Rhinolophus ferrumequinum: one gene and its partners. The protein of the gene in region 3 binds, or shares a complex with, the protein of the main gene of each other region. Links are inferred from orthologs where the notes say so. Each region holds a gene or a part of one and is shown on either strand. Other genes may lie near its edges. The genes, in order: FAM91A1, STX16 and TBC1D23.

Region 1 (8,005 bases), on a different chromosome or scaffold from region 3:
TTTAGAGACAAATTAAGGGAAATTTTCAGATAAAAAATTGGTTGCCATTTACTGTCTGAGTGTCTGATGCAGCCACTCATGGCTCCCCAGAATTCCTAAGCTGGGTTAATGAGGTCATATTATGAATGCCTCACTACAAATGACTTGAGTCCAGTGACATCTCATTAGGGTTAAGAGTATTTCAGGGATCCTTAATATTTTGATTTTTGTTTTCGGCAACTGGGTTTTATTTTATTTTATCCTATAATTTCAGTTCATCTAAATTTCGTGTTCTGTACATGTGATGTTTGACTGTATCATTGGCTGTTATGAAAGTTCAGTGTCACATGTCTCTATACTGCGGTGCACTTGTGGATTTTTTTATACCAAAAATATAGAAAGACTGTTTTGAAGATTTGAAAACAAAAAAGTGAATGTAAACTCAATCAAAGTACTTAATACCTCTAATGCCAAAAAGCAAATTCTTTCCATACAAGGAATATTCCCCACTTATAAAATGCCTGAGCTTGAACTTATCACCTGGAAAAAAATCTCTTACTGATGCCATCACTCATTCACTCCAAAAATATTTACTATAAGCTAAATATGTGATAGGTGCTTAAAATACAAAAGCGAGACAAGTAATGTAACCGGAAAATGCAACATAGCGGGATAAGTGCTACAGGTAAGAAATACAGTGCAGTGGTAACATATCCGAGACAACTGATCCAGATTTAGGAAGTCAGGGAAACTTTGCTGGAGGAGTTAATATCTGAGATTCAAAAAGAAGCTGCAAGTAATCTATAGGAGATGGGTAGTGACAGGATTGGATTTGCATTTTAGTAACCTGATCCCAGTATAGTGTGAAGAATGAATGGGAGGGTCCTATTCTAACGCAAGAGACCAAAGATAAAAGCTGGGGCAGTAACTTAGAGAAACAATGGCAAGGCTAGAGAAAGACTAAAGTAGTAACTTAAATACAGATGGGCTTTGCAACACCTTCTACAAGTGGAAACTTATCCTAAGCTAAAACAGCTATTCTTTTAAGAGACCTTACCCCCCAAAAAATTTCAATTTGATGTCACGTTTATATCTAATTTTAACACTGTTCTGTGATTATTTTTAATAATCATGACTAAGGTTTAAAAACATTTTTGCCAATATTAAGTAAGGTCAATTATTCATGTTGGACATAATTGAACCATCCATCTTTCTTCCTTATGCTACATTTATTTTTGTGAAAGGAAGAGTAGACAAAAGATGGAAACAGAGAAAAGAACAATTGTTGGTTCTTCCAGTGGTCTTTGGATATGCCAACAAAACCCTAAAGAACAAAAGTGTCCACCAAAGCCTTCATTGAAGCTTAACAAGGGAAACTTATTCCTTCAGGTTTAGAGTTTTGTTCTTCCAGGTCAAGCTAAATGCTACATGGGCAGCCAAGATTTCTGAGTCCCTTAAATTTATCTTTCTACTTTCCTGTCTCCTTGATATCTTAAAGCAAAAGCATTTGCTCTGCAATTTGATGCGCTGCCAAACCTTATTCATTTCCCAGAACTAAGCCCCCAAGCTGAGAGAGGTGGCAAAGGAATAACCTTACACCATCACCACCACCATGCCAAATTTTCCAAATAGAACTGCCCAATGGAAAAGAGAATTTCCCTCTCAACCACGCAGAATGGGAGGCACTTTAGGGTCAATCTATGATGAGAGAAACGGTGCCTCATATGGAGCAAACGCATCACGACCTTCATAAGATTTTTACACCACCTGCCATGTTATGTAGCAATTCATTTACTATCTTTCTTTCCTAAACTGTAAGCTCCATGGAGGCAGGGTCTTTATCTTGATGACGGCTGCAAATTACCACACCTAGAATAAGGCATAGAACGCAGCAGGTGTTCAATAAATATTTGTTAAACAACTTTGTAAAAATTAAGCTCCAGCATTTGAGACTTAACTCTCAGGCAAAAACCTCATGTCACTCTCTTAATGAAACATCTTTCACAAACCCATCTTGTCTAGAGAATAACGTCAAACAAAATGAAGTACAAAGCTTCTTCAAACTCTGGCCCTGACTGTTTTTCCAGCCTCCTCTGCTACCACCCGGACGCACTCAGAAAACCACACCTCCAAACAGATCAATGTATCTACACCTCCAAACTCGGGTGATATTAAGTCGCTTGCTGCTGTCGAAACATTGCTCTTTCACTCTTCCAAGCTTTTTAAAACGCCTCTCTCCCTGGGAAATCGTTATCCCCTCTTCTCTCCTATTCATCCTGCAAGGCCCAATTTAAATGTCTCCTCCACACGTCCTCCCAACACTCCCTGGACAATGTCTTCGTCCCTCCTCTGTGTGCCCACATATGCTGTACCACAGGTACGTATGCGCTGCCATCACCTGTAAGCATGCCTGTTTCCCACCATCCTGAAGTTCTGGGGGTCAAGTGTTTTCAATGTTTCGCAGGCGCCTAGCCCGTGCCTGGTTGAATGGAGGCTTCGGGCAAAGGCGCCAGGCGAGTCCAGGGTATGATACCATTCCATCCTTTTTTTGCAACGACCCCATCCTGCGTCTGTGGCCCCAGAGCCGCCCCCTCCTCATCCCCGGGCTGCCGGGCGGTTTTCCCGAGACCCTGTTGGGGGGAAGGGCGGGAGTCACCCGGCGGAAATCAGCCCGGAGCCCCGTGGGCGAAGCGAGCAGGTGACGGCGGGGCGGGGCCTCGGCCCCAGGTTGCGGCCGTACCTGTTTCACGTTGGCGGGCAACTTGCTCCAAGGGTAGTTGTGCCGAATGTGGAACTCCACGTCTATGTTCATGATGCCGGGCGCCCAGGCCGGCGGCTGCGGCCCCGACCGCTGCAGGAACGACGCCTCCCGCCTGCCCGCCCTCGGCCTATCGGGGGAGCTCGCGGGAGGCCCCGCGCCTCACACGGCGCAAGGCCCGGGCTGCCCCATGGCCAGGGCTTCCGACGGCTCGGCGCGGCCCGGGCCACGGGGCACAGGAGCAGCGGAGAGAGGTGGCAGAGGTGCCTCGGTAGCTCCAAGTTTCTTCCTAGTTTCGGCCCGCCGGAAATGGCTGTGGATTTGCGTCACTTCCGCCCACTGGAGCGAGGCTGGGGGGCGGGGCGTCAGGCTGGCCTCCTGCCCTGCCCTTTACACTGAGGGGCGGGGCAACCAGGTGGTGCCCGGAGGTACCCAGGTAACCGCTCCACCCCCACCCCCACCCACTCGCTACGCCTCCCGCTGTCAGTCTCTGGATGAATTAAGATAGGAGCTTGGGTCTGCATGACCACTGTTGGATGATCCACTTTCCCCAAAATGTGAACCCAGGTGGTCCCAAGAGCAGGCGATTACAGGCTCTAGGGTCAGTTGTGTGAGAAGGAACGACTTGAGGAGGCCATAGCTGGCTTAATAGTTCAAGAGCAGTGAGTCCCCTGGGAGCTCTCCATGGCCAACCCTGAACCCGGGCCAGGTGGATGGGGTCCAGGCTCACGAAAGAGTTTCTAAGTCAGAGCTTTCTCAATTGAGCGAGAAGCCGAGGGAGTGGTGTTCCTTCATTCCTTGTAGGTAGTTGCTGCATCTTGTGGAAAAGAAACCTTGGACTCTCCTTGGAAGGTCCAAATTCTTAAAATGCAGAGATTCAGGGAGCTGAAATTTTAAATAGCCGGTGCTGACAAATGGGGGGAGACCCAAAGGGAATCCAGGAGACAGAGAAAGATCCTTGCATGCAGCTTCTGGTTACTGCTTTGTTCTGCTCCATACGAATGCCTCCAGAGTCACTTTTCAAAGGCAGAAATCAGCCTACCTTAATTTCAGTTCTAGTGAGAGGATCTTTGGAAACAATTCCTTCCAGAATTTGTTACACTGGCTTACTAGCAAATCCATGACCATTGTTACTGGCAGCAACCAGAGACAAGTTCAGTATTTTTGCAACTACTTCTCAGTTTTAAACACTGGTTTTTATACACTGACACTTTAATATATGCAGAAATGTTAATAAGCGTCCAGACCACCCCTTAGCAGCTGGCTGTCTGAGGCATAGCAGGAACCCCACTATGTCTGATGAATTGAAATAAATGCGGTCCACATTGCCCTAGCATAGATGTATTAATCTCAGGTTATCCAACTGTAAGAGCCCATAACTGCTTTGGATCCTGTGTTTACAGATCTTTGTCATCATAACTAAATTTAACAGAACTCTGACCACGAGACATTTATTCAACAAATATTGATTACCTGTCCGCTATATAGTAAGCCCTTCACTTGCAATAGGTTCTTATTCCTCACAACCTTATGAAAGAATATGACTATCCCGATTTAATAGAGGAAACAGACTTGGCAGGGCTGCCTGACTAGCTCGCAAAATCACACAGGTGGTAGTGACAGAGCCAGACTGAAGCCCAAAGCTCTCATGCCAGAGGCATCCTTTCAATTCCTCGATTCAGACTCTCACTCACTGAACTGTTGTTCTGGCTCCTCTTCCAATTCAGATCATGTTCATTTAAAGTCAACAACATAAATCTCCCTCAAAAATAATTTTCAATATTTCTAAGAGTAGAAGAACTCACATTCTTCCCAAGTCTAACTCTGGTATAATGCAATGCAACAATGAAAATTAAATTCAACATCATTTTTAAATCCCTGTAAACAATTATTTTAACTAATTATAAGTTAAACGGGCGAACACCTGCTGAATTCATCTTTTTTGTTTATCAAAAAATATTGGCTACAGTGTGGACACATCAAAAACTACGAAAGTAGATGGGATGGTGGAGATGGACACCCACTGAATCAATAAGACACAGATCTTTGAAATTTTGACTATGAAAAGAAAAGATTCTAATTCAGTAGGTAGAATAGAAAAGATTCCAACTCAGTAGGTAGCTGAGAAAGGCAGAAATTTAAGGGAGGAAATGGTAATGTGTCAAAGCTATGTATGGGAAGAATCCAAACGACAAGCCCTTCAGAGTAGAAACTGGTGACAGAGTTTGGCTTATGAAATACAGGGTGTTAATTAAAGTGCAGGTATGCCTCATTTTCCCCAAGATGACTGCCAGTCTTTGAGAGACTGGAAACAAAGTAGTTCAGAGACCATAGGTTAACCCACAGGGCTCGAAGTCTTCCTCCAGTGGGAAGTTCAGGAACAGGACTGCTCCCTCAAACACCAGGAACAACTGCTCACTGGGCTCTACATATAGCACTCATTACAGCATCACGCCTTTTTGGCAAACGATAATTCCATCCCTTTAGGTCCTTGACTCAGACCCCTGCTATTGCTGCTTCGGTAGACCTTTGCTTTTCAAATTCCAGAGAAGTCAGAAACTGCAGGGTTAGAATCCGCGTCTCAGAAGCTGCCATCCAAATTATCCTTGTGGGTAAACAATGTGTTCAAAAATACAAGTGCAATGAGATTCAATCTTACCTGGCTTTACCAACTCAGACTAAGGAAAATTACCCAGTTGGCTTGGGCAAGCTGCCCTTCAGAAGCACTACAGAACTATTTCATTCCTGAAATTCCAACAAACATAATGAGCAGAAACAACCTGGAAGTAAGGAGGTGTCTGGTGATCTAATTTCAGACTCCAGAATATTATTCTATGTGTGGTATATCATAATGGCCCCAAAGGTGTCCATGTTTCAATTCCTGGAACCTGAGAATATGGAACCTCACATGGAAAAGGAGACTTTGCAGATGTGATTAATTTAAGGATCTGGAGATGGGGAGATTATCCTGGATTATCCAAGTGGGCTTGATATAATCACAGGTTCTTCATAAAAGGGAGGCAGGAGGGTGAGAGCCAGAGATAGAGATATGACAATGAAGCAGAGTTCACAGTGACTTAGGACCACAGGGCAAGGAATGTGGGCAGCTTCTTGGAACTGGAGAAGGAAACAGATTCTTCCCCAGAGCCTCCAAAAGGATCACAGCCCTGCCAACTCATTTTGGACTTGTGATCTCCAGAACTCTAAGATAATAAGTCCATGTTGTTTTAAACCACTAAATTTGCGGTCATTTGTTACCGCAGCCGCAGGAAAATAATATACTCCTCCAACAGTACTCCAAAACCCAAACAGCTGATGCATTAAATTTCACAATTAAATCATTGTAATTTAAATGTAAATACCCTTAGGAGGAATAAGAGCTTTTTAGCCTCATTTTTCTTTTCTTTTTTTTTTTAAGTATACATGAACTATCACATCCTTTTCTGAGGACAAGTTTGAAAGAGGAAGAACTCAGGGATTAAATGAGGCTATAAAAGTACCTAGAGAGGAGGAAATGGTGTGTAGATAAAAGAAAGGGGACGGAGCCATTGGAAACATTTTCTGTTTCGCAATTCTGCTTGGGCTTGACCTTGGCCATGGGTTTCCCTGCCACATATTTCTTTGCTCTGCTCCAGAATGGCAATTCATCAACCCGTGATGCTTGACACCATGGTCTAGCTTGTTCCCACATAACGGCTTTGGCCCTTGCTGTTCCCTTGGCCTTACATGTATGCTTTTCCTCAGAACTTTACACAGCAGGCTTCCTTCATTCTACCCCCTTGCACTGAGAGTGGCATTCTCCAACTGCTTTGTCCAACCTGGCCACGTCTTCCCCTCCTCTCTCTAACACATTACCTTGGTTTAGTTCTTTGGTTGCAAGAAATCACGGTCTGACATTATCCTACTTGGTTCATTGTCCGTCTTCTCAGCAAGAATCTTGTTCGTCAGCCTAACTCCAGCGTATAGAATCATGCCTCACCCATAAGTACTCAATAAATATCACTGAACGTATTGAAGGAGTGAACTAGTTATGTGACACCTGAGCTCTCAAATGTCACCTCCTCACTTAAGTCTTCTCTGACCACCTTATTCAAAATTGTAACACGTCTCCGGTCCTCCTCAGCTGCCTCCCCTGGATTATGGTTCTCCGGAGCACTTATTGCCATCTAATATATTTAACATAGTTTTAAAAATTATTCATCTCTCTCATTAGACTGGAAGTGTCCCCGAAGTAAGGGCTTTTGTCTGTTTCCTCCTCTGCTGTGTCCTCAGGCCTAGAACAACACATCGTTGGCACTTGATAAATAATAAATGAATGAATAGATGTTGCAGGGAGCAAAATTCTCATAAAAATCCAGATTTGAGGATTCTCTTGAAAATGCGGACAATCCCACAGCATTAGACACCCTTCCCCATGCCAGTCAGGGAAGCCGAGGACAGGCTGCCTGGCTCAGACAGAACACACGCTCTCTCACGGATCACATTCTCCACTACCTCCACTGCCTGTCACGGAGGATGTTGGTTGTGAAAACCATCCCGCTCACACTTCGTTTATTTGGGAGGAAAGAAATGTTTCTGTATCCTTGTCTGTGCCTGAAATACTACGCCATTGGCAATTCCCTAAATATGCCACACTGTGTAATCCCTTCAGGTCTTTGCACGTACAATACCCCTCTCTGGAATGCTTTCCTCTCCTTTTCTACCTGGAAAACTTCTCATCCTGACAGGGTGAATGGAACCCTAAAGAATCAGAAGGTGAGGATGGAGACATGAGAAGGGGCCAGATCACATGGGACCGTTTTTTCCTACATAATGGAGTTTCTAGGATTGTCTTCTGCAAAGGATGGAAAACAACGGAAGAGTTCCAAGTCTGTTTCAGAGAGAGGCAGAGAGATCCTCTGCCATAGAGCCTGGGAAATATTAATATTGTATATTTATGTACAACATAGAGCATGTTATATTTCTGCCATTTGAAGTTAGTGTGTATAGAACATTTGTAGCCTGATGTGGAAATGTACTTCTCCAATATCAAGCCATGTCACCCCCACACAAATGCTGAACAACTGTAATAGTTCAGGTGCCCACTAGGGGTTGATCTCACTCAACATTTCTATACCTAAAACTCGCAAGCTGTCTAGTTCCTCATTTCTGACTATTTTGGACTTTTACCCAAATCCATTCTCTCAGGCCTTGAAGTCTTTGAAATTCTTTCTCTAATTTGTCTCCAGAATCTGATAGTCCCAAATACTGTTAATTCTTCCTTGGGTA
Region 2 (7,274 bases), on a different chromosome or scaffold from region 3:
GACAGACTGAATTGACCATAAAATATTTTAAATGCTCTGATTGTTTATGATCTGAGATGTTAAACAGTCAGACTAGTATAAGTATGTAACATTTTAAATGGCAAAACATACAGAAAATATTTTTAATGTTGACTTAGACATGTAGCTTTAGTTTGATTTAGAAATTTAATTTCAAGAAATTGTCTGAGTTATCTACATGTATCTGTACATTTTCTGGCATATCTATTTTTCCAAACCGTGTACTTTAGCTATTAGTTTTTAGTTATTTGACTTAGCTTATGCATTTTTTTAATTGCCTACTTAGAAAACCATTTTAAAAATCGGTTTGAGATAGAGATGCACTTTTTAAAAGCTGCCCGTCTCGGACACCAGGTTTTTAAACCGTCTGACCTACTGATTAATAATAAAAAAAGTCTCATGTTACCCAACATTTCAGGGTGTTTTGAATCTTATAAAAATTTAAAAGCAAACAAATCAATTAAAACTGATACCTTAGAAACATTGACACGAGTTTTAGTTGTTTTTCCCCCCCAATGAGGTAGCATAAAATCAATCCATTTAAGGAACATGTGATTTTTACATCTTCTTTAACAAATCTCAAGTTCCAGTGTGGGATTTTATTCATTCAATTTCAACTCTCTAATTCTTGGCTTATTTCAGAATATTCTTTTCAAAATTAGCCTGGAATCAGCCCACTCCCATTTTATAATTATTTCAGTATAATACCATTTCTTTCAGTTTACAAAGGCAAAAATCCTTCCAATTCTTAAGGAAATAATAACCTAAACACACTCCATCCCTGTTTTCTATGATTTTTTTATCTGAGTATACGTGATTTTATTCCTAAAACTGCTCACACGGCTTAGAATAGCTTTTCTATAGGAACAATATGGCCAAAGAGTTTCCACTTGTGATTTACAAAAAAGAAAAATTGTCTGGGTAGACATTCTGTCAATAATGAAGACACATAGCATAATTTTACTGAAGCATTTAGATAAAGTCGTAAAGAACAAAAACTCAAAGACAATACAGTCCCTAAGAGGTGAAGTAAGTGTGACATTCCCAAAACTGTATATTTCCAGTATAATCCCCAAGAATCTGATTTGGGATGACTTTGTTCCCTCCTTCTTCAATGCTGCTTCTACTCAAACCTGGCCTATCTATAGCCAGGAGCCCGCATTACAAACTAGTTTCATAACTTCACTTTTCCATTTAAGATACGACAAGGCTAATAATCATCATTGTTTTGTACAGATCACCCAGACCGCCCACACCCCTTATTTAACAGCAGAAAACTGAGGCTCAGAAAGGGAAAGTAGCCCTCCTCAACAAACACAAAAACATCAGTCATCTTCCCAAGCCCTCCCTGTAAAAGATTCTACCGCTGCGCTAAAGAAAGGTTCAGGTTAATTAAATCAAAAATATGGGCTATTTAGGGGTTCATTTTCACAATTATGTTTCACATTATGTTTTTTTAAAAAAAAAAGTTCGAATGGAGGGAAAAGCTTAATTTCCTGTCTGGGAAATGGAAAACGAAGAATCTAGCACCTTACAGTCTCACAAACATAAGCCCCCAGGAAAAACAGTGAAGCAATTATTCATAGGGAACACGGCCACACAGAGGGCTGCGAGGCCATTAAAAGAAAACCGGAGGGGGAAAAAAAAAACCCAACAACTCCTTCCTCGTTTGGGGGAGGGTGTTCTTCATTTGCAAGGATTAGGATCTGCGATTCCGCAACCCGGCCCTTAGAACCAAAGTGAGGCCCAGTATGGGGGGGTGGGGGAGGGGGTTTAAAACAAAACGAAACAAAAAGGCTGCAGAAAGCCTCCGTGCTTCCAAATCTTAGTGTTAAAACATATGTAAATTGGAGGCGGATTGTCGTGCAGTGACGACGGGGGGGGGGAGGGGGGAATTGGGAGGGTTGCGGAAGTGAGGAGAGAGGCAAGGCAGAGATGGAGCAAGGGCCTAAAACTGGTTTTCCCCATCCAGGGTTATAGGTGCTCCAGGACCGTAGCCAAGAGACCTTGCATTTCCGTATTATTCTTATCCTCTTTTTTTAAACAGAGAGACAGACAGAGACAGACAGACAGGCAGAGCCGCAGTGCACACGGTGCGTGTGTCGGAGAGGCCGCCGGGAGACTCACCGCAGCAATGCTACGTGAATGCAGAGGGCTGGAGGTGGTGTGACTACTCACTTGCTCGGCTAACAGCTGCCGGTTTTGGATGGAATTATTCCGCAACAACAAGAAAGCGTCGGTTAAACGCCTGGTGGCCATGTCTCACCCTTTGTGACCCCCCGCTCAGGGGCCCCCCGCCCACTTATATTCCTGATTTGTTCACTTTCTTTCTCTTGGCCTGGCCTAGTCGGCCCACCCTTCACAGCAGCTTCTCTTGACAAGGCCTCAGACCTCAAGCCAAACAGGCGCAGCTTTGCGCTTCGCCAAAACGCAAAGACCCCTCCTCAACTAACCACCGAGGCTTTCCAATTGTCTAACTCCCCCTACCCAAGTCCTGCCTTCGATCTCTAAGCACTTAAATCCCCCCAATCCTTGCGTCGCTAGCCAACGTCCCAGAGACCCCACCCCAATCCAACCTTGGATCTACAAGCGTCTAACTCGCCAATCCAGCTCTGGACTCGGAGGCCCTGAAGCCCCCTACCCCCCTTAGTCTCGGAGACCCTCGAGGGTCTTGGTCCCCTACCCCTAACTTGGCTCGCACGCGTCTGGGCCCAGCCCTAAGGCCTGATTCTGACTCAGTTTCCTTACTAGAGGCCTGGTCTAGGCCCCCTTTGGACAACCCCAGCCAAGCCTGGGCCCTAAACTCTAGGGTGCCTGGTGTTCCCTCCTTGGGCCTTGTCTGAGCCTGCTAAAGCCCAGGCCCGACCTCCTGACCCCTTCCCTTTCTGGGTGGACTGGTCCTCCACTGTCACAGCAGGCTGCAGCCTCCAGGAGGACAGCACGGCCTGCTTTCCCGGCCTCCTCACTCCTCTTCTCCGGCTCCCTCCATCCCCGGATCTGACTGCAGCTCAGCCCCGGGCCGTTTCCGTACTGTGGTCCCGGGTTCTGGCGTCCCCCCTGGCCCTCTTCCTGTCCGTCTCTCGCGAGTGCCCCCCTGCAACGTTCGCAAGCCTTGCTTGCAACGTTCCGGGCGCGGGAGCTCCCTGCCCCTCTGCCCCGGGGCGCGGGAGCGCTCCGCCCCCTCCCGGGGTGCTCCCGGGGCGCCTGGTTTCCACTTTCACAACTGGGCCTAAGCACGGGAAACGGGCGAGCGGTCAGGCCTGAGCCTTGGGAGCGTGGCCCCCACGCTGCAAACCGCTGCCCGTGGCCTGGGTGCGTACATTAGAGTGGAGTTGCGCGGCAGGCAAATTTGGGCTCCAGCAGAGCCGAAGTTGGAGGCGCGAGCGGAGTTGGGGCGGGAGAGGAAAAGTTGGAGACGACTGCCTCTGGAGGCCGAGCACGCTCCACTGCAGGCAGCGGCTCGCGCTCGCTTTTTTTCAATTCTAAAAAAAGATGTATCTGAAAAACAAGGGGGGGGGGGGAAAGCAGCAGCGAGCTAGAGCTTAGCTAGAGCGCCAGGCCGCCAGCAATCGGGGGTCGTAGGGGGCGACCGCCCTCCCCGGTCGCCGCTTTCTGTAGGGGGCACTGCAGGGTTGTGGAATCTCAAGCCGAAAAGTTCCCAGAAACTTGGGCAGCCCCCACCCCCACCCCCACCAACTTTTTGCTGCCGACTGGGCCCGCACACCGGCGTGCTGGGCCTGGCTCGGTGCCCCACGCTTTCCCGTGGTTGGGCCAAGCCGGGGGACGGCAGGCGACCCCTCCTCGCAGCCAGGGGCCCGGGTAGACGGCATTCGAGCAGGGGCTCCGCGCGTCCGCGTGGGACTCGAGCCGCCCGAGTCTGAGCGCGGCGAGCAGAGGCCAGGAGCTGCCCAGCGAGGGAGACCCGAGTCCCGCCGGGCCTGCATCCCGGGACCCCAGCATGGAGGGTTCTGGGCTGGACGGATTGGGGTCGCGGAGCCGGGCGGCCGCGCCTCCCCAGCCCAGCGACCCAGGCAGGGCCGGCTTCCCCTCCTCGGGCGAGCCGAGACCACGTTGGGGCCGCCGCCGGGCAGGGCTCGGGAGTGAGGTCTTAACAAAGGAAAACCGCCCCGAAATCCGGGAGCGGGCCCTCATCCCTGCATCTGTTCCTGCATGACACAAACTTGACACACACGTGTCTTTCCGAGCGTTGTGCTAAGCGCTGGGCTTGCAAAGAGGAGCCACACAAAGCCGGTGTCGGCGCTCAGCCAGCTGCCTGGGACGGCTGCTGGAGGGGTCCTGAACCGGCTCCGCCGAATCGCTGGCCACCCAGTACATATACATATATACATGTACATGTCTCTAAAAGACAATGTTTCTATGCGTCACTTGTGTAACTAAAAATTAATGTTAAAAACATCCTTGGGAAACACATCAAAATGTGTAGAATAAAAGAACCATTGAAACGGGAGAGCCAGAGAGCCGGGCTGGCGCGTACATTCGAGGAAGGGGCTGTGGCTTCCAGAGCCGGGGCGATGGGAGAGGGAGGGCGCTCGCTCGCACTTTACCAGGCCTGGACCCTGCCCGGGCGGCACAAAACCTCGCCGCGCGTCTCGCCGCCGCGTGTAAGCCGCAGACAGCGAGCAGCCTGCTTTCCCCGAGCTGGAGGCTGCGGCCGCTCTAAAGGCAGAGACCCTGATTTATCTCGTGGAGGGAAATTCGGGGAGCCTGCTTAGCTCGACACCCAGGAAAATTTGCACATTTGCCAAATGAGGGAGAGCTCTATCCCCACACTTCGTCTGACCCCCTGCTCCCCCCAGTGACAGCTGACCCCAGGCACACAGCTAAGACCCTTTACTCCCCCCTTCGGAGGACAGATGTTGTAAATAACAACCGAGCTGGTCTTCGTAAGAACATCAGATTAGAAATGTGGTCCGCACTCTGTTCCTTTCTCTTGAGCACACTCATCACCTTGCAAAGCAGAGACTTGTTTACTTCTCCTGGCTCTCTCCCCCAGGCTAGAACGTGATCTTCCTCCTACGCAGGAACCGTGTTTTATTCATCTGTGTACCCACTGCCATTTCCTCTGGCTTGGAATAGGCTCCGGATAAATGTTTTTAAAATATGTGTATGAATGAATTAGAGACCCGCGTTTCAGTCACCAAACTCTGCGACATGCCTCAAGTGATTTTAAGCCTTTATAGCCCTTATCTGTGAAGAAAAAATGTGGGGTTTTAATAATCCTTGTAATCCATGCCCTGTCTACTTCTACGGGGTTATTGTGAAAATCAAGTGAGATAAGTGAACACCTTTGTAAACTATCAGGTACTGAGCAAATATTATATAGGATGGTTATCCATTTATTCCCTTCCCTGGGAGAGTAATTCCTGAGCTGGTGTTTTAGCAGATGGTGGTCACCCTTCCCCATCAGCCTTAAATATTTATCGCGGGGCAATTTCTTTCTTACAGTTAGGAAATCAATCAAGCTTCCGTTTCTTCGAGAGAAATGAACAGTGCTTGCACACATAAATAATGGAAGAAAAATCTTCGTATTCCCAAAACAGCCACCCCAAGCAAACCAAGAGCCCAAGCACAGGGAAATCATGAAGAATCCATGAGATTGGCATAGCAACCTAAAGGCGGCACCCGGCAGCTCTAACCCGGCCCAGGATTGCATGCGTGAAATAGTGTTAAGTGAAAAGCGGGGAGCCCGGAGAGGACGTGCAGACTGGCAGAGATTGCTCTGACCCATATTGGAAGGGAGGTGACGGGAGGGGACAGGATGTAAATCATTCTACTTGAATGTTCCTTGGCTGTTTTATTTTCCTGTCAAGTGGCTTAAGCCTGATTTTTTTTTTTTTTTTAAAGCATTCCCTCATGGCCAAGTATGTGTTTCCTTGGAATTGAAATCTAGGTTGATGGTTTTATATTTTAAAAGCTTTCATTGTGACTCATTCTTGGCCTGGGGTAGGATTCTGTAATACTCCCCAAGCTCAAAGAGCCTGGGTGTCCTGTTTCTTGGGCTTCGGACCCACTTTCTAACATTTTGCCAATGGATCCAAGAAGTCACTTTTGGAGACAAGTGTTTCATTGTCTTCTTGGCATCTTAATCTGTGCAGCAGGGAACCATAAAGATGGACTTCCCTGACTACAGGGGGACGATGGCAGGCACGGAAGAAGGTTTCTAGTGCAGCTGGGTTAGTGGTCAGACAGAATGGGTCCGCAGTGTGCTACTCACCTCCTTGGGTGAGGAGGTTTAGATGAGCTAGGCCTCACGAAGCCCTCACTGGGGCCCGGCGCACAGTAAGTGCTCCGTAAATGGGCAACATGGCTCGATTACCGCAGCCGTCTTGCTGCCACAGAGCTCCCGTTGGCTCCAGTCTCCCCGGAAGGCAGCACAGCAAACTCCAAAGAGCAAGGCATGGTGGTGGGAACTGGAAACTCTCCAAGCACATTTTCAAGATTCTTGTTCTGTGGCCTGGGAATCCAGACGTGCCTACGATGTACTCTCACATAGAAGAGGGGTTTAAACAGCCACTGGACACCTTTGAACTTTGGCCTTTCTAGTGCCTATAGAAAGACAAATGGTTGTTCTTTTATCAAGATGAGCAGCAGCAAAAGCCCCCAAGCTTAATGAATGTCTGCTTTGCACACATCTGACATAATAGGCAGATTCTGGCCAGATTTAGGAAACAGCAGCTCATGTGTTCTGTCTCCCCAAATAGCTCCTCAAAACCTTGAGTATTTCCAACCTCTGAAAACTCCCGAGCTCTGTCTTTAGCCACGATGCCTCCCTCAAGCCGGAGACTCCAGAGAGGCAACAGTTTTGTGTTGTCCAAAGTCCATTAGGCTTTTCTTTTTTTTTTTTTTAACCAGATAATTCAATTCAGTGGCCATTTCTAAAAATCTAGCAGTGGCTGTGCCCAGCTCCACCAGTCCCTACTGCCTCTGCCCAAATGCTGGTTCTCATTACCCGTGTCTCTCCAACAGCCTCCTACTAACCACTCTCTCTTTTCCTCCACCCACCTTCTACATTGCAGCCGCAGTGACCTTTCTAGAGCACAAATCTCATCATGTCACTGCCTGATTGAGGCCCTGAAACAACTCCCTCTGGCCCACACCAGCGACGTTCAGCAGAAAACAGGTGCTCTCTACACCAGGCCATCACTAATAGTAACTAATGAGGGTCTTTTCTTGGTTGGCAGGAAAAAAATTAAGCTAATTGATGAGATAGTCTCCATTTTCAGTGTTTCTCTTCT
Region 3 (7,564 bases):
AACCAAAGTGTCCTTCGATAAATGACTGGATATAGAAGATGTAGTACATATACACAATGGAATACTACTCGGCCATAAGAAAAGATGAAATAATGCCATTCGTGACAACATGGATGGATTCTGAGATTATTATGCTAAGCAAAATAAGTCAGACAGAAAAAGTCGAGAACCAAGTAACTTCACTCATATGTGGGATATAAAACTGAAGGCAACAAAGGAACAAGACAAACAAATCAAAAAACAAAAACGCATAGGCACAGACAACAGTTTAGTGGTCACCAAAGGGAACTGAAATATACATCGTCTAGAACCTTGCTAACTAGAATGTGGTCCATGAACCAGCAGAAATGCCATCACCCAGGAACTAATCAGTCAGAAATATAAAATCTCAGGTCCCAAGCAAATCTACTAAATCAGAATCTGCATTTTCACAAGATCCTCAGGAAAACCGAACGCAAATTTAAATTTTGAGAAGCTCTGATCTAGAACATAACTGAAAACCAGTATATAAGTAAAAGTGACATCTTATACTTTTAAGATTTTCAAGCCTCATCCTGAGCCTTTGTGTTTACAAATGTATACACAATTTTAACACATTCAGCTACCTAGTTTCTCAGATTAGGAACAAACTGGGAGATACCACTAACAACAAAGAAAGGAAACGGGAAAGACTAATAAAAGCAATCTCAAAAAGGGATGGCTGTATAGGGACATTTAACAGCAACAATGCACCCTCCTGCCTAGACAGGACCCAAAGGTCTCACTGTATTACAGAATTGTAACAGTAATTGATGTTCTTAAACGTGCTTCTCCTAACTAGACCACAAATTCCTTGAGGACAGAGACCTAGTTTTATTCTTATCACTTACCATTTGTAAACTCGATAAACCTAAGTCACTAAGATGAGTTTAGGTTAGGCAATGAGATGTATTAACACATTTCAGAAAATTTTCCATCTGAAAAAGTTACAATAAAAATGTGATAGCATTTTTTTTTTGAAGTAAACCCTCCCCATTCCCTAACAACCCATTCACCAAGCACTCTAAAAGGAAAGGCCTTACCGAACCTATGGCTCCAATTCTGAATGTCCTTTCTGACTCTATTCAGACTCATTTCTAGGGGACGGGTGAGTAGTGAGTAGAGAAAAAGGAGCAATTAGAAAAGAATGGAGAGAGAGTAGAAATCACAGAACACCTCCTTTCATTAAAAAAAAAAAAAAAGCAAAAAAAGAAAGCCACACCAAAGAGAACAAATGCTACCTCTAGCAATCATTCATTCCATGTTCCTTGCCCCTGTGAACCAGACTCATGCTCACAATCCTAACCAAAGAACTCCTCAAAGACACTTAACTCTACAAACATTTCCCCTCCTGGCCTTCAATCAGCTGATTACAGTTTATGATACAACAATTCATTCTTCGCAAACAGCAAACTTCACGAAGTTCTAGTCATTACTCTCCAAACAAATCATTAGTTTTCTTGCCTATGTCCTTGTTCGTGCTATTACTCCATTCAGAGACGGTTTCCATCTGTTAATCTGACTGCATTATCCAATATGTTAGTCACTAGCCACGTGTGGCTACTTAACATTTGAAATATGGCAATACCAAATTGAGATGTAGGGTAAATGTAAAATATACATTGTGTTTTGAAGACTTGGTACAAAATACATGTAAAATTATCTAATTCTACTTTGATAGGTTTGATTAAATAAAATGGATAACTAAAATTTATTTCACCTGCTTCTTTTTTAGTTTTTAATATGGCTATTAGAAAATTTGAAATTATATAGGTGGCTCACATTACACTTCTATTGGACAGCACTGATCTAAATCCTACTCATTTTTCAAGGCCTAATTCAAACAACTCTGCTTCCATGAATTTCTCAATTACTATTATCAATCCCTTTCAATGGTTTCCCTTTCTTTCTTGGGGATTAAAGTCCACGTCTACAAATGCCCTGTATTATTTTTATGCAAACAGCGTGCCAGTGAGCAGTATGCATACGGCGAACAAGGAAATCTAAAACTAATATAGGTGGTCAATACGTTTAGATCGAGTGTAAAAATTCGACAAGCCTCTAAAGGTTCCATATTTTATGATGTCCCTAAAAATGTATTGTGAAGATCAACTATTTCAACAATAGGAGCTTTTCCCCAAAATTAACGACACTGGGTGACTAAAGTCTAGCAAAAAATTATTGGAGATCCTCCCCACAACCCCGGGTATAAATCAGGTAAGCACGCAAAGGAGCAAGAGCACACCGCATCCAAAGCTGTGAAGATCGAACTGTGAGGAAAGTGTCAGGAAGGCAAAGGACGACTGGTATGAGAGAGACGAACGGTGGAAATTGTTGGAACTCGAAAAGAGAAATACAAAAAAAAAAAAAAAAAAAAAAATTAAGATAAAAAAAATCTCAACTATTTCAGAGGGATCCTCCCTGGGAGTGTCCCTCCACCTCTGAACCCGCAGGCAACTATCGCAGGAGTCATTTCAAGTGATCTGTTCTTTAAATGGTATGCTAGTGCCTCAGATCCGCATCCGCGAAACTTCCCAACCAGCCTACTCTTACTCCCCCGGCCAGGGACTCCGGCCAAACCCAGCCCTGAAGCCACCCTCTCCAAGGCATTTTGGAAACCCGTGGACGAAGCTGGAGGACCGAACTGAGGCCCAGTAGCTGGACGACACCCCTCTCCCTTCGAGTCCGGCTTTAGCCCCTCGGGCGGCCGGCTGGCTGAGGGGACCCGGCGAGCAGAGGGGGCGGGGCAGGGCGCTGCACTTGGTTGAGGACGGGTCTTCCGGTTCCATGCCGGCGCCTGTTGGTGCCTCAGAGACAGGTAGGGTGGTGAGAAGGAAGAATGGAGGGGCAGTGAGAATCAGCTCCGGGCTTTCACTCACCAGCGGTCGTCGCTCGGCGTTGACAGTGGCAGGACCTCTTCTCCTTCCGCCATTGCTGTTGACGTCCACGTCACTTTGCCGAAAAGTGGACCGAGAGCAACTCTGAGACCCAATGTCGTAAAAGGTCCTCGGAAGCCTGGAACCGAGCCTCTGGAGAGGGAAAGGAAGAGGGAGGAGGCAAGGGACTGGAGGAACGCAACGTCACGACGACCCAAGGGCCAAACGCAGCTGTGGGGGAGGAGACTTAGTGGAGACGGCTGCCCCGACAAAAACTACATGTCCCAGAATGCCGCGGGGGTCTCCGGCTGGGCGGGGTTGGCGAAGCTTGGTGAGGGAGCATCTCCCGGTAGGACGCCCTTATTAGCGTCGCTTCTTTGCGTCCAGTTAGTGTTTTCATTCCATCTTGGCGTCGTACTTAACAAAGTCAGCATCGACAGTCCTTAATAGTGATGGAGACGAGGAGGTGGGAATTTCACAAAGAAGGTGGAGGTAGACACGTTTCAGTCATTGCCTACTGTAACAACTGGAATTAAGGAAAGTCGAGTGAAAGAAATGACAAGCCCACTCCTGTTTGTGGGGTCCTGTCAAAACTGCAAATGGACGCCACATATTTTATGTCTGAATGCTTAACCTTTTTTTTTTCTAAGCTAAACAGTAAAGGAAATATGTTCCAGCCTTCCATCTTTATAAATAGATCTTCATAACAACCTGGAAGGTCAAGTCCAAATTTAGGATGCTAGAACTCTTGGAGTTCCAAGAGGGAGGGCTGCCACGTTCCTTCTCACCCTACTTCCCCTTCACTCCGCATGGATGACCACCTCGGCTTCCTCCATGTCCAGGCTCAGACCACACCACAACCCCCCCCCCAATCACCGGCCTTTTGTCTCCCCTTCATCATTCATGGGCCCGGGGGTGGGCACAGACCTAGGAGGATGGACCTACAAAAATACTTCTGCAAGCCCTGAAACCAACATTGATGAAGTAGAGCTACATGTAATAATATGGATAAATATGAAAAACATGATCTTAAAAGAACAAAACAGTGCGGAAGGATAGGTAACAGGTAGTTTAAATTTGGAGTTAAAAATAGACAAGAAAATATATTGTTTATGAGTAGACGCATAAGTGCTTTTAAAAAATGCAGGAGAATGATATATAGAAAAATTGAAATGACAATTGTCAAAGATAAACACAGCCAGACACTAGTCACAGCAATAGACAGATTTTGTTCGGAAACTACTGACAGTAGGAGACAAGATTTCAATTGAAAATGTTTAGCAATGATATTTTCTGGAATATTGGTATCATCTGTTATTTATGCATCAACCTGTTCAATGTTCTACTGAGTATTCCTTCCAAGGTCATGATAATCACCAAGATGATATCCTGTTATTCCAGTGGTAATTCTAGGAATCTGGTTGTTAGGTCAAGTCCTTAACCTTGGTATGTCTTTGGTTCCTCTTTCTTGAACAGGTTCCACTGGTTCACTGTCGACCATATTTGCTTGAGTTTGGCTTGTTGATATCCAGGCTGTTGAGTTACTGCTACAGTTCTGATCCTCAGCCCTTCCTCTTGCTCTGGATCAGGTTTGTCCACATTTTCCCCAACATGCCTCACTTCTTGAGATGACAAGGACCACACTTTGCCCACAAAACATTTTTTAGTTGGCTACAAGTTTTTATGGCTGTAACTTTCTGAGTATTTTTGTGCTTTGAAAAAAATCTCAAAGTCCTGCCATTTATCTGGATTATTACATGCTTTTAAAAAAAAGTATAAGCATGGAATGGCAAGTAGAATTTGTTAAATTCTAGTAGATTTCTGCTTTAAAAAAACTTTTCAAGAGCTAGGGATTTTATTATGAAATCATCTGCCTGTGTTTTCTTATATTACTGCCTTCTCCTAGTTGTAAGAAGATTTCATCAATACTAGGAGCTCCTGCTATATTTCTTTATATCCCTCTGGAGCAGAGGGAGTTGGAATCTTAGACCTTGTGCTGTGGTAAGGTAACGTTACTGGTGGGGACCATCTGGATCTGTGCACAAGGCAGCCATTCCAACATATGTCTCTAAGAAAGGCCCATCCAGTCATCTGCATAGGATGTGTTACCTGCCTGCATTTGTGCAGCTAATTGTATTCCCACACCCAAAGAGGAAGCTGTGATGTCATTTCATATTATCTTTGGATAAAATCAAATTGCATATTTTATGGAGAAAAAAATTGTTTTTTTGGTTTTGAATAAAACTAAAAAACAAAAATATTTTTCGTTTATTATTTGATGCTCTGTGCCATATAATTATGCAATTTATATTGTATTGTATGTACTTAATTCATATTATGACACATAGTCTAGTCTCAATAAATATTTGTTAAATGAACTAAGGGGATTTTTATTGATGTGTTTTTTGTTGTTGTTGTTCTTTGCAGTATTTTGGAATGGGTGAAATCATTCACCTACATAGAAATGGCTAGTTGGGGTCAGGGGCAGGTAGTTGTGAACTCATCTGTATGGTCAATTGTTATGTTAGTGTAGTAGAACTTATTTCATTTTTTATTATAATATTATTGTAGCATATCTTTAAAAAAGAGAGAGAAATGATCCTAGTTTCTGATATTCATATTCAAGCAATCTTTCCTTGACTTTCATGCATTCTTAGTAAAAATGAAGACCTAATAAGATGTATTAAACTATTACTGCTTTAAAAATTACCCCAAAACTCAGTGTCTTAAAACAATGAACATTTATTATGTCACAAATTCTGTGAGCTGGATGTTCTGGCTCAGCGACTCTTGATGTTACAGGCAAGATATTGGCCAGGATTGCAGTCATGTAGTTGTCTGAAGGCTTCAGTGGGGCTGGAGGGCCCACGTCCTCAGTGGTTCACTCACATGCCTGACAAGTTGGTGTTGGCTGTTGGCAGGATGCCTACCATCCTTTCCAAATGAGGCTTTCAATGGGCTGTTTGAAGTTCCTCTTAACATGGAGCCTGGCTCCCCCTACAATGAAAGTTTAAGAGAGACCAAGATTGAAGCCACAATATTTTTTATGACCTAGCTTCAAAAAGTCACACTCCATCATTTCTGCAATAGCCTATTGGTTACACAGGTCAGCTCTATTCAGCATAGGAGGGAACTACAAAAAGGCTTGAATACCCAAAAGCAAGAATCACTAAGGGTCATCTTAGAGGCTGACGGCCACTTGAGGTAACATTAAATCCTGCACAATCTTCTTGGTTCAATCAAACTCGGTCCTGACATCCCTGCCCATATCATCTCAGCTCTCCTCAAGCTCTATCTCTTCTGAACTTGTGAAAAATGATTAGCAGGCCCTCTCATCTGGGCACTACAGCATCTTGTATTCTTTAACTCTGACAATGGCAACCATTTTTAATTTCTGTCATAGCCTCTGAGATGAGAAATGTAGGGCTGAAAGTATATGGTGCCCAAAAGTTCTTGTTAAATAACAAAACATTGATTTTTGTTTCTTCAAATATCACGTGAGAATTTCAGAATTCTTAACTTTCCCAGGAATTTTCCTTGTTATCTTACAAGGACAAATGTTTCCACAATTATCAAAATTACTTCAGTTATTTGTAACTTTAAAATCCCATCAGGACCTGCATTCCAAGACACTTTAAACTACTGAGGCCTAACATTTAATTTAACGATAAGCAAAACCAAATTAATTCCCATTGGCTGATGATAAGTGAACAGTTGGCATCAATTTCAACATCTGCTATTAATTCATTTAAAAATGTTGAGCAAATAATGATAAAGAGGAGCTAGACTCTTTATTATTTCTCCATTATCCTTCTAGTAGTTGTCTTTGCTAATTGAAGTTGACTCTTCATAAATGATGTATATGGATCCAAAGTAAACATTTAGGTAGAGATTTACCCATTCTTGGGTTTGGGACGGTTGTGCTTTAATGTGGGAGTCTGTTTCACCCTTTCCTCATTCCAAACTAATTCCCTATTGTTCCAGATAAAAGGCTCTTATTAAGGTTGAAACCCTGTTGGTTGGAAACAGGGATAGTAAACAATATATTAGGTGGAAGTAACCTTAATTTGAGAGACTTAACTTCTTTCTTTTTGTGAGAACAAACACACACAATCTGTAAACAGTATCCTTAGACAACGGCTATACTATTCATGTATAATCTGTCTCCATTCCCCTCAAACACTTGTACTCAGCCTTCCTCTTAGGCATTTGTCTTGCTAAATAAAATAATTAGCAAGGAACCATTTAAGTTAATTTGTTGGAATTACATGATAGGTACTTTGAACAATATGTATAAAAAATATAGGCATATGTCACAATTTCTGTGACTGTTATTTGCAGGCTGGTATCTGTAATACCCATGCTAAATTGTACAGATTATCACTGTTAGTTCTAAATTTTAAATTCACACAAGGAGAGTACAAAATTTTATTTTTAAAAAGAATTCTTAGGATATAATGAATATGAAAATACCACAGGTACAAAAGCATTACAAATTTTTAGATAAAGAATCTCTTCTCTATAATTTTGCTCACACATTTTTTTTCTTTTTCTGGACAATATCAACTACTTCTCTGTTGTTAATTCCCACCTATAACCTGATAATTCCTAGATTTGTATTTCCAACCTTAGCCTTTCTTTTGTACTTTGCTGTATATCTAGCCATCTAC

The links.
Region 1: the proteins of TBC1D23 (region 3) and FAM91A1 are in contact, whole or in part, in a crystal structure (PDB 8JJ9), measured with the Homo sapiens proteins. The link is inferred for Rhinolophus ferrumequinum from reciprocal best matches to the Homo sapiens genes TBC1D23 and FAM91A1. Residues at the interface, in NP_001186127.1 of Homo sapiens: Arg533, His534, Val535, Ser536, Ser537, Asp539, Val541, Gly542, Lys543, Pro544, Tyr545, Arg546, Val548, Pro550, Val551, Phe552; in NP_659400.3 of Homo sapiens: Arg49, Glu60, Arg61, Tyr64, Asp84, Ile85, Lys88, Gly89, Leu90, Arg91, Ile92, Thr93, Phe95, Ser96, Ile159, Pro161, Tyr176, Ile177, Thr178, Glu179, Asp181, Ile182, Lys190, Asp194, Ile197, Asp198, Tyr216, Asn217, Lys218, Gly219.
Region 2: the proteins of TBC1D23 (region 3) and STX16 are in contact, whole or in part, in a crystal structure (PDB 8QQF), measured with the Homo sapiens proteins. The link is inferred for Rhinolophus ferrumequinum from reciprocal best matches to the Homo sapiens genes TBC1D23 and STX16. Residues at the interface, in NP_001186127.1 of Homo sapiens: Leu638, Asn639, Ser640, Val641, Val642, Lys643, Ile644, Thr645, Ser646, Lys647, Lys648, Ser661, Ser662, Ala663, Ile666, Thr683, Lys687, Ile690, Met691; in NP_001001433.1 of Homo sapiens: Asp209, Asp210, Asn211, Thr212, Leu213, Tyr214, His215, Arg216, Phe218, Thr219, Glu220.

What each region holds. Positions count from the first base shown.
Region 1 is NC_046297.1:60,985,472-60,993,476, reverse strand, and holds the start of FAM91A1 (protein FAM91A1), read right to left. Parts: upstream 3,046-8,005; 5' UTR 2,792-3,045; coding exon 2,720-2,791; intron 1-2,719. UniProt on the Homo sapiens protein: As component of the WDR11 complex acts together with TBC1D23 to facilitate the golgin-mediated capture of vesicles generated using AP-1.
Region 2 is NC_046306.1:3,629,096-3,636,369, forward strand, and holds the start of STX16 (syntaxin-16), read right to left. Parts: upstream 3,073-7,274; 5' UTR 2,278-3,072; coding exon 2,146-2,277; intron 1-2,145. UniProt on the Homo sapiens protein: SNARE involved in vesicular transport from the late endosomes to the trans-Golgi network.
Region 3 is NC_046285.1:29,495,170-29,502,733, reverse strand, and holds the start of TBC1D23 (TBC1 domain family member 23), read right to left. Parts: upstream 3,063-7,564; 5' UTR 2,951-3,062; coding exon 2,898-2,950; intron 1-2,897. UniProt on the Homo sapiens protein: Putative Rab GTPase-activating protein which plays a role in vesicular trafficking. Involved in endosome-to-Golgi trafficking.